Linked DNA regions of Nothobranchius furzeri. The protein of the gene in region 2 purifies or fractionates together with the protein of the main gene of each other region. This does not show direct contact. Links are inferred from orthologs where the notes say so. Each region holds a gene or a part of one and is shown on either strand. Other genes may lie near its edges. The genes, in order: fkbp5 and cdk15.

Region 1 (3,921 bases), on a different chromosome or scaffold from region 2:
TTTTCTCAGTTTAATAATCATTTTTATTGTTTTTGCTCTAAAGAGAGAAGTCTGGAAATCTAAACAAAGGAAAAGAACTTTGTGTTCTTTCATCTGGCGGACAAAGAGAGACAAGATGTGACTCTAATGACTTAAACACTTGACTCTTGGACCAACAAACATGTTAAAGGCTTTGGTTTTTATGTTTATAAGAAGCTTTATAAACTAAGATAAGAAATATCTCCAGTAAAGGCAAAACTGATCAGAAAGCAGCCTCGCGAACACAGACTTTACTGTGAACTCGCTTTAATAAAAGCAGCTCTTATTAGTAGATTTATTTTCCGTTAATTACACAGAAGGGTCCGTCATTCTTTGCAGATATCACGAATGAGCAAAAAGATGCTTCTCTGCATAAAAAGAAGACCATGTAAATAAACCTCTAATTATTAAACGACAGGCTGAGCAGCAGAATCCTTGTTTTGCATACTGATCAGGAAATAGAATTTGAATCGTTTCTAAATGATTTCTTATGATGCTGAGGCACTTTCCATGCTCCTCATCACACAGGTTGAAACCACAAAGAGCCGTCTTGACTGGCATCACTTTACCCCGCATCCTCACTTTTGTACTTGTATGGAAAAATACAGTTTTTATCCTGAAAAATGTCCCAAAACGTCCGTCCATCAGCAGCTCCACCCTTCCCCGTGTCTTTTAAATTCCACGGATGTCATTTCAGATGTAACTCATGTAACTCGTGTGTCCATGTGTGTGTCTGAACACAATGTTCCTTCTATTCACAGTTCGCCACCGGCAAAGCCCAACAGCGTTCATCAACCTTAAACCCCCCTGATGCACCAGCTTTAATTTTATTTAACAAAAAAAAGGCAAATAAGCTGTTCTAATTTGGTAAATTTTGCATACACTCACATTTTTTACCCCCCACATGATTTAAACTGAGATAAACCAGCGTTGTGACTGCTTATCATCACTGATGATTGCAGACAAGTAAAAAGTTACTCATCCCATCATTGTGATCTCGCCCTTCTTTTTGGTGTATTTCTGTCATCTCTTCCTCGTAAATAAAATATTGACACTTTGCAAAAGCAGAAACAGGGTGTAAATTGTTCCAGCACTGATAAGATGGTACGTAGGCTTCATGTACCAATAACTAAGATGCCCTGCGGAGGAATGCAGGAACAGAACACAATGAGCCAAAGACCACATCCAGAGACGCACACAGTGTATCTGTACATTCTGTTTCACATCCGTACTCTGTTGCTGATTCATACCTAACAAGTGGAGACTCACTGATAATCCTGCACACACAGACACCCCAAAAAAACTAAACTTCTTTTATTAACCTGTTATGGTGCTAAGATTATGATAATAACTTGATATTTATAGATGTCTATCATAAAAATGCTGTAATCATTAAAATCTATTTGTTTTCCAGGCAAAAATTATGCCTGACCTTAACTTTTATAAGTTGTTAACTGACAAATAAACTTTATTTTTTTTCACCTGAGCTGATGAAAATGTGTGCATTTTTATTAGATACTTATAGAATAGTCCTGGCTGGAACTAATTTTGGAGGACCATTTTTGTGCTTATCCCCTCAGCACCTGGTGTCAACCTAAACATTCAGAGTTCTTCACAAGCTGCTCAGTAATATGTAACCAGGTTGTAATGAATCAGCTCAGAGTCGAGTTGAGTTATAATTCTCAGAAGTAGCCTGCACAAAACCCCTGTAATTTATGAAAGGGACACCTAAGCCTAGAGGGATCCTGGATGAGAACATCCACCAACCTCTTCTGGGACCTTCACAAGAAGGCTAAGGACCACATTCAGCCAAAACCTATCCATCCTGGCTCACTTTCCCCCCTCCTTTAAATAATCTTGTATATTCTTATTCTTTAGTGAGACTGTGCACAAGTTCCGTTTAACTCAGCCAGGCGTGAACGAAATTTAAAAAAAAAGATTATTTTAATTAACTCCTAAATTAAATAAAGTATTTCAGAAAGATGAAGATCTGTGTATTAAAAGAGACTTACGATGTTTTGAGGTCCGCTTTTTTATTTTCTTCCCCCAGATGGTTGCCGGTGACGAACAGCTGCAAATTCACTCGGTGGATGTTTATTTCTAAGAAAATGCGTCTTCCTATCTCAGATCCAGCAGGGTACTAAGTGTTCTGCCCATGTGGTTCTTAGCTATGGACTCTTTTTGTCTTTATCCCACCCCCCTCTGCTCCTTCTTCCTCTCCTCAGTGATGAAAGTACCGGTGCGGTCGCAACACGCAGCTCTGACTCCAAAATGACACTGAGGAGATACTACAGAGACAAACTCGCACAAAAATGACAGAGGCAGGAGGAGGCGAGGGGGGTGGAGGGGGGTGGCGGGGGTAAGCAGAAACGAGATGAGTTGTGGGGAGGGTGTTTAGTGTAAAATTAAGGGCAGGTCTTGGAAAGCAGCCACAAAGTAACACAATGTTCCGGCTGTACTGTAGCTGTGCCGCTGCTGATGAGAACACAGTGTTCCAACAGACACCCTGACCTGTAACCCGTTCCGTGCCAGGCCGGGCGGGAACAGCCTGTTCCGCTGCAGCGTGTTCCTCCTCTCTCCGCTCAGCGGACAACACATATCAACAACAAGAGGAGCTGTCTCCGTCTCTCTGTCAGTCCCAGCCGAACCGAACCCCGTAGCAACACGGAGACGTGTCAAAGCACCGACACTGACGTACACCTCTGAGTCCGATGAGTCGCGCGGTTTGACGGATTACTGTTTCTGAGGGAGACGGTAAAAACTCCTCCGCCTTTATCTTAGTTTTTTTTATTTAACGCTGTAGTTACCGACAAAAGCGCGACTTTAGTAGCTGTTTTGTGCGATGATGTGCTGTTATTATTAATTAATGCTCTGTTATGGCTGTTATTTGAACACGAAAGGGGGAGTTGCACCAGCTATATTAGCTTAAGGCTAAACTTGCACAGGTGTTTTTAGCTAGCTATTGAGAATAAAAGCCTAACCGGTGCAGCAATACGTTTATTTGTGCTTTCATTTCCTAAATTAGGACTTTAAAAGAGAATGCCAACAGGAACTGTTTTGTTAAACCAATAACTTGAGTCGTAACTTAACTTTTTCTGCCTGATTAAGTTATTATGTCAGATTAGCATTTTGTATTAGGGAGTGACAGATTATCCCTGCCAAGAAGTAGGATGCTGAGGTTCAATGTAATTTTATATTCTCCACCCAGGAACTAATTAAATACTATTTAAAGTAATTTAACATTCACCAGGCTATCTTTTCCATTTGTTGTCACCTTACACTAAGAATAAGTTATGTTACATGCTAACTTTATACTTCTAGTTAATACGTAATTGGATTTTGAAGCTATTGAGTTCATTATTGAAAAGTAACCATCCAATTGACTATGCAATGAAATATAATTAAAAAGCTTCTAGAAAATAATTATGGATTAAACTGCCCTAAACTCAGCATGAAAGGTAAAAAGATGAACCCATCAGGTAATATGCAAGATTTCTAAACGTACGTTTCTGAATTTACTTTTAAATTTCAGTAAATATGAATGCATCGACTCTTGCATCCGCAGCAGAGTAATTTCACTTTACAGTGAGCACATTGTTCCATGGATTTTTATTTCTCTTGTAGTTACATAACATCATAATGACACTTTGTTCAGGTGGTGTTATATGAGACTCTCTTTCATAAGGTTTAATATTTTATGATCTCATATTTGCAAGCCATATCATTTCAAGGAAAATTTACAACCCCTTTGAAGCTATTTTAAAAATTGCAACATTACAAGCAAGAGCAATGTCAACAAAAAAACACTTTAAACATTAAAAAGCAGTGAGTAGTGAAGTGTTTGGAGTTAGCTAATGTATAATAGGTTCCTTGCTCGGACAAGAAACCAGAAGAGTAACATAT
Region 2 (3,921 bases):
GGTAATGACCGAAAGAACGAGATCACGGATACAAGCGGCCGAAATGAGTTTCCTCCGTAGGGTGGCCGGGCTCAGCCTTAGAGATAGGGTGAGGAGCTCGGACATTCGGGAGGGACTCGGAGTAGAACCGCTGCTCCTCCGGATCGAAAGGAGCCAGTTGAGGTGGTTTGGGCATCTGGTCAGGATGCCTCCTGGACGCCTCCCCGGGGAGGTGTTTCGGGCATGTCCTGCCGGCAGAAGGCCCCCGGGTCGACCCAGGACACGTTGGAGAGGTTACATCTCCAATCTGGTCCGGGAACGCCTTGGGGTCCTGCCGGAGGAGCTGGTGGAGGTGGCCGGGGAGAGGACGGTCTGCAGCTCCCTAGTTGGGATGCTGCCCCCGCGACCCGGACCCGGATAAGCGGAGGAAGACGACGACGATTATTTTTGTTTACAGTCTTTTAATTTTAAGTCTTTAAAGAGCAAGTCACCCCCAAATCAACTTTATTTGCTGATAAACTATATAAGTGTGTGTCTAATCGTGCTGCAGACACGTGTAGTCAATAGTTTTGCACTTTAGTGCATTTTAGTTAAAATTTTAATTTTCTGCCTAAAACTGTCAGTGTTGTGCCGTCGTCAGGTAAAAACTCTGCACTGCATTTGAATTTAAATCTGCCATCGCTATTGGCTAAGAGCTACCCTAGAACGTTAGCTGGTACCATATGATGTCACAATGTCGTTGTGAGCCTGTGTGTGTGTATTTGTTAGTGGCTCCGCCTCTCGGTCTGCTAGGCAACAACATTTGTTGCATTTTTCAAACAGGAAGTGGGAGTGGAGTAAGAATCTGGTAGGGGGTGACTTGCTCTTTAAGTGTTTTTTATTTTGAATTTCTACATAAATAATGTTATCCTAAATTCTATCAAGTCTCTAAACTTTAACGTTTGTAGTTTCAAGAAGGATCCTTGGATGTTCGTGTTTTCATTCCCCATTATTTAGTGTTAGCGTCACTTTATTTTACAGTTTCCAAAACGCATGATTTCCTTTACTCAAATTTATTATTAATTTTAATTTGTGCTGTAACCAGATCTAAATATCCCAAAAATGATCATCTGCCATTAAAACACGTCTTAGCGTGCTGGAAACCTGAAACAAGCCATTGATGTGCAATAGAAATAGCGTGGTACCCAAGCCTGACCCCTGTGGGACTCCACAACAGATATCCAGTCTCTCTGCATGACTTTTCTTTTCTGTTGTTACATCGCCACTTGCCTTTGACCCAGTTGGGAACAACCCTGAAACCACATCCTGGTTTTTAATCTATGCATGCTCTGCATACTTCCCCTCTTCTGCAGAACTGGTGATTTCTGATTCCATAAAAATGACAGATGGATTTATCAGTAGCGCCCCCTTCAGGTCAACAAGTATATAAATTAACACAGTTATCAGCGGTTGTGCTTACCACGTACTCGAAGACCAGGGTGAGTGTCTCTCTGGTGTGGATGATGTCATGCAGCAGGACAATGTTGGCATGTTTTAGGCGTTTGAGCAGAGAGGCTGTGAACACACACACACACACACACACACACACACACACACACACACACACACACACACACACACACACACAGGTGTCAGGGCAGAGGTTGATGCACTCAGGAGGGCGAGAGAGCAATCTGATTGGTCACCTTCTCTGATGGCGGTAAAAGGAACTCCCTCTTCTTTCTTCATTCGAATCACCTTCAGAGCCACCAGCTGCCCATTTATCCTCCACAGAAGAAACTTTACATTTAAGGCTCAGTAATAAAAAACACACATGTAAGGAAATGCTGATAGCCCGTCTACGGTGGCCCGGAGGGGCATCTCTGACCTGCTGATGCCTTTATATACAGAAGCAAACACTCCCTCTCCCAACTTCTCCAGACTCAGGTAGGACTGGGCAGCTCCAAACTCCAGACCCGCTTTCTGAACACAGCACGTTACACGTCAGATCAGGAGTTTTAGGTCACATGCTCAACACTTCACACATCATGTGACCCATCGTCTGACCCAGGTGAAGAGATTCTGGACAGCTGTTGCTCTCAGAGGGTCACTGTTGCTGCGTCCTCGCTGCACTCTGGACCGCTGGGCCTGCAGAGTGTGGAACCAGTGAGGCGGAGTCCCAGAGCTGGAAGAGCTGGTCTGGTTCTGATCCACCTGTAGGACATGGACAATGGCTGGGTCAGCAGAACAGAACCGGAGGAAGCTTTGCCACCATCGCGTCCTGGAGCCAAACACGCATCAAGTTTAACCGGTACCTCAGGAGAAGGGAGGGACATCCAGCTTCTGCTGCTTTGTAGATTCTCATCATCCTCATCATCATTACCCTCATCCTCCTTCCTCTTCTCTTTCACCTCCTCGTCCTCCTCTTCCTCACCACAGCAGCACCCGCTTAGCTGGTGTCCAGCTTCCCTTATGCTGCGAAACAAGTTCTCCATGTTTTCTTCTTCTGTGGTCCAGATGCTTCCCTTCTGTCTCATGACATGCAGACAAGATCCCATGACCCCCCCCCCCCCCACCCCCCACCCCACCCCAACAGTGAACAACAGTCTCCATTCAACAGCAGGAGCTGCCCAGTCCTGAGTCTGGAGAAGTTTTCTGCCCTCTGCTGGCGTCTGACTCTCATTACAGTGGATCAACTGCAGCTGGACTTGTGGCCACCGCTTTACTTTTTAAGCGTAATTTGAAGTTCTTCTCTCCAAAGGCAACAAAAATAAATAAACTATCACGCTACATCAGGTCCTTGAAAAGTCACTGCAGGAACAAACACATTTCTCAGTCTGGTGGTCCTGCACCCACCTGAGTCTGGAGATGATCCATCAGGTGAGTGGACCTTGTTCACTCACCAGGGGCGCCTCCAGAATTTTCATAGGGGTGGCCAAACAGGGCCAACAAAATTTTTGGAGTGGCACCACCCAATTGGTCCTTGTGGTAACTCTGGGAGAGTTTAGCCTGTGGCGATGCTCCTTTATTATTTTTTAAAAAGGAAGTATCCAAACATTTGAATTTTATTTTGAAATGTATTTTTTTTTAGTTTAATTCACCTGTTGCTGTGTTCACAAAAATATGGAGATAAAAACTTTTTTAAACGGTGAGCAGCAGGAATATAAGCACTTTTTTATTCTGATTATTTCTTTACTCATTAATTACATTATTTTTATTTTGTTTTACAATCATGTCTTGCATAAATAAGATCAGTTTATGGTTTGAGTGAACATTCATATGATTTATTAACACTCGTTTTTTGCTGGGGGGGGAGGGGGGAAGCTAATTTCTGGCCACCCCTTGGGGGCGCCATTGATTGTCACTCACCTCATTTCGTCTTAAGTTGCATAACCCACATGCTGCAACGTACAGAGCATTATTCTGGCTCTGCAGTGACTCATCAGCATCACCCACAGCACGGATGTCTCTAGATTATCTTCAGAATCCATGAGAAGAGTTAAAACGTCGTTTGTGTAGCTCGGCAGGCCTCTGTCAGCGCGCCCCAGGGCAGCTGTGGCTACATTGCAGCTTATTCTCACCAGCGTGTGAATGTGTGAATGACTGATTGTGTTGTGAAGCGCTTTCAGGGGTTGTACAATAACGTAACAGTAGAACTAACCAGTGTCTCATCAGATTGAATAGCGATGTCCTCTGCACTGAGGAAACATCGGAGTTGAATGGGCTTGTCTGCTGCACGACTACCTCAGACACATAGTTGGGGAGTCGGGCTAGCGTGTGGCGGTTTCTGCTCACCTCAGCATCGTGATGCCAAACTGCTGGCCTGCATCTTTCCTTCAGCTGTCCCCATGTGCAGCCCAACATCGAACGCTTTAAGCAGCTGTCCGTGTGGGTTTTGGACAGGTGTAGGTTGCCTTTAGCCATCTTGATGCTAATGGGATCATGTGACCATGGGTTTACTGC

Evidence for each region.
Region 1: the proteins of cdk15 (region 2) and fkbp5 purify together in Homo sapiens (affinity purification with mass spectrometry; 3 studies listed by BioGRID and IntAct, counting the BioPlex papers as one, with this or other methods). This does not show direct contact. The link is inferred for Nothobranchius furzeri from reciprocal best matches to the Homo sapiens genes CDK15 and FKBP5.

What each region holds. Positions count from the first base shown.
Region 1 is NC_091743.1:66,803,287-66,807,207, forward strand, and holds the start of fkbp5 (peptidyl-prolyl cis-trans isomerase FKBP5), read right to left. Parts: upstream 2,263-3,921; 5' UTR 2,031-2,262; intron 1-2,030. UniProt on the Homo sapiens protein: Immunophilin protein with PPIase and co-chaperone activities. Component of unligated steroid receptors heterocomplexes through interaction with heat-shock protein 90 (HSP90).
Region 2 is NC_091746.1:29,187,273-29,191,193, forward strand, and holds the start of cdk15 (cyclin-dependent kinase 15), read right to left. Parts: upstream 2,523-3,921; 5' UTR 2,517-2,522; coding exon 2,274-2,516; intron 2,173-2,273; coding exon 2,026-2,172; intron 1,942-2,025; coding exon 1,847-1,941; intron 1,745-1,846; coding exon 1,665-1,744; intron 1,534-1,664; coding exon 1,439-1,533; intron 1-1,438. UniProt on the Homo sapiens protein: Serine/threonine-protein kinase that acts like an antiapoptotic protein that counters TRAIL/TNFSF10-induced apoptosis by inducing phosphorylation of BIRC5 at 'Thr-34'.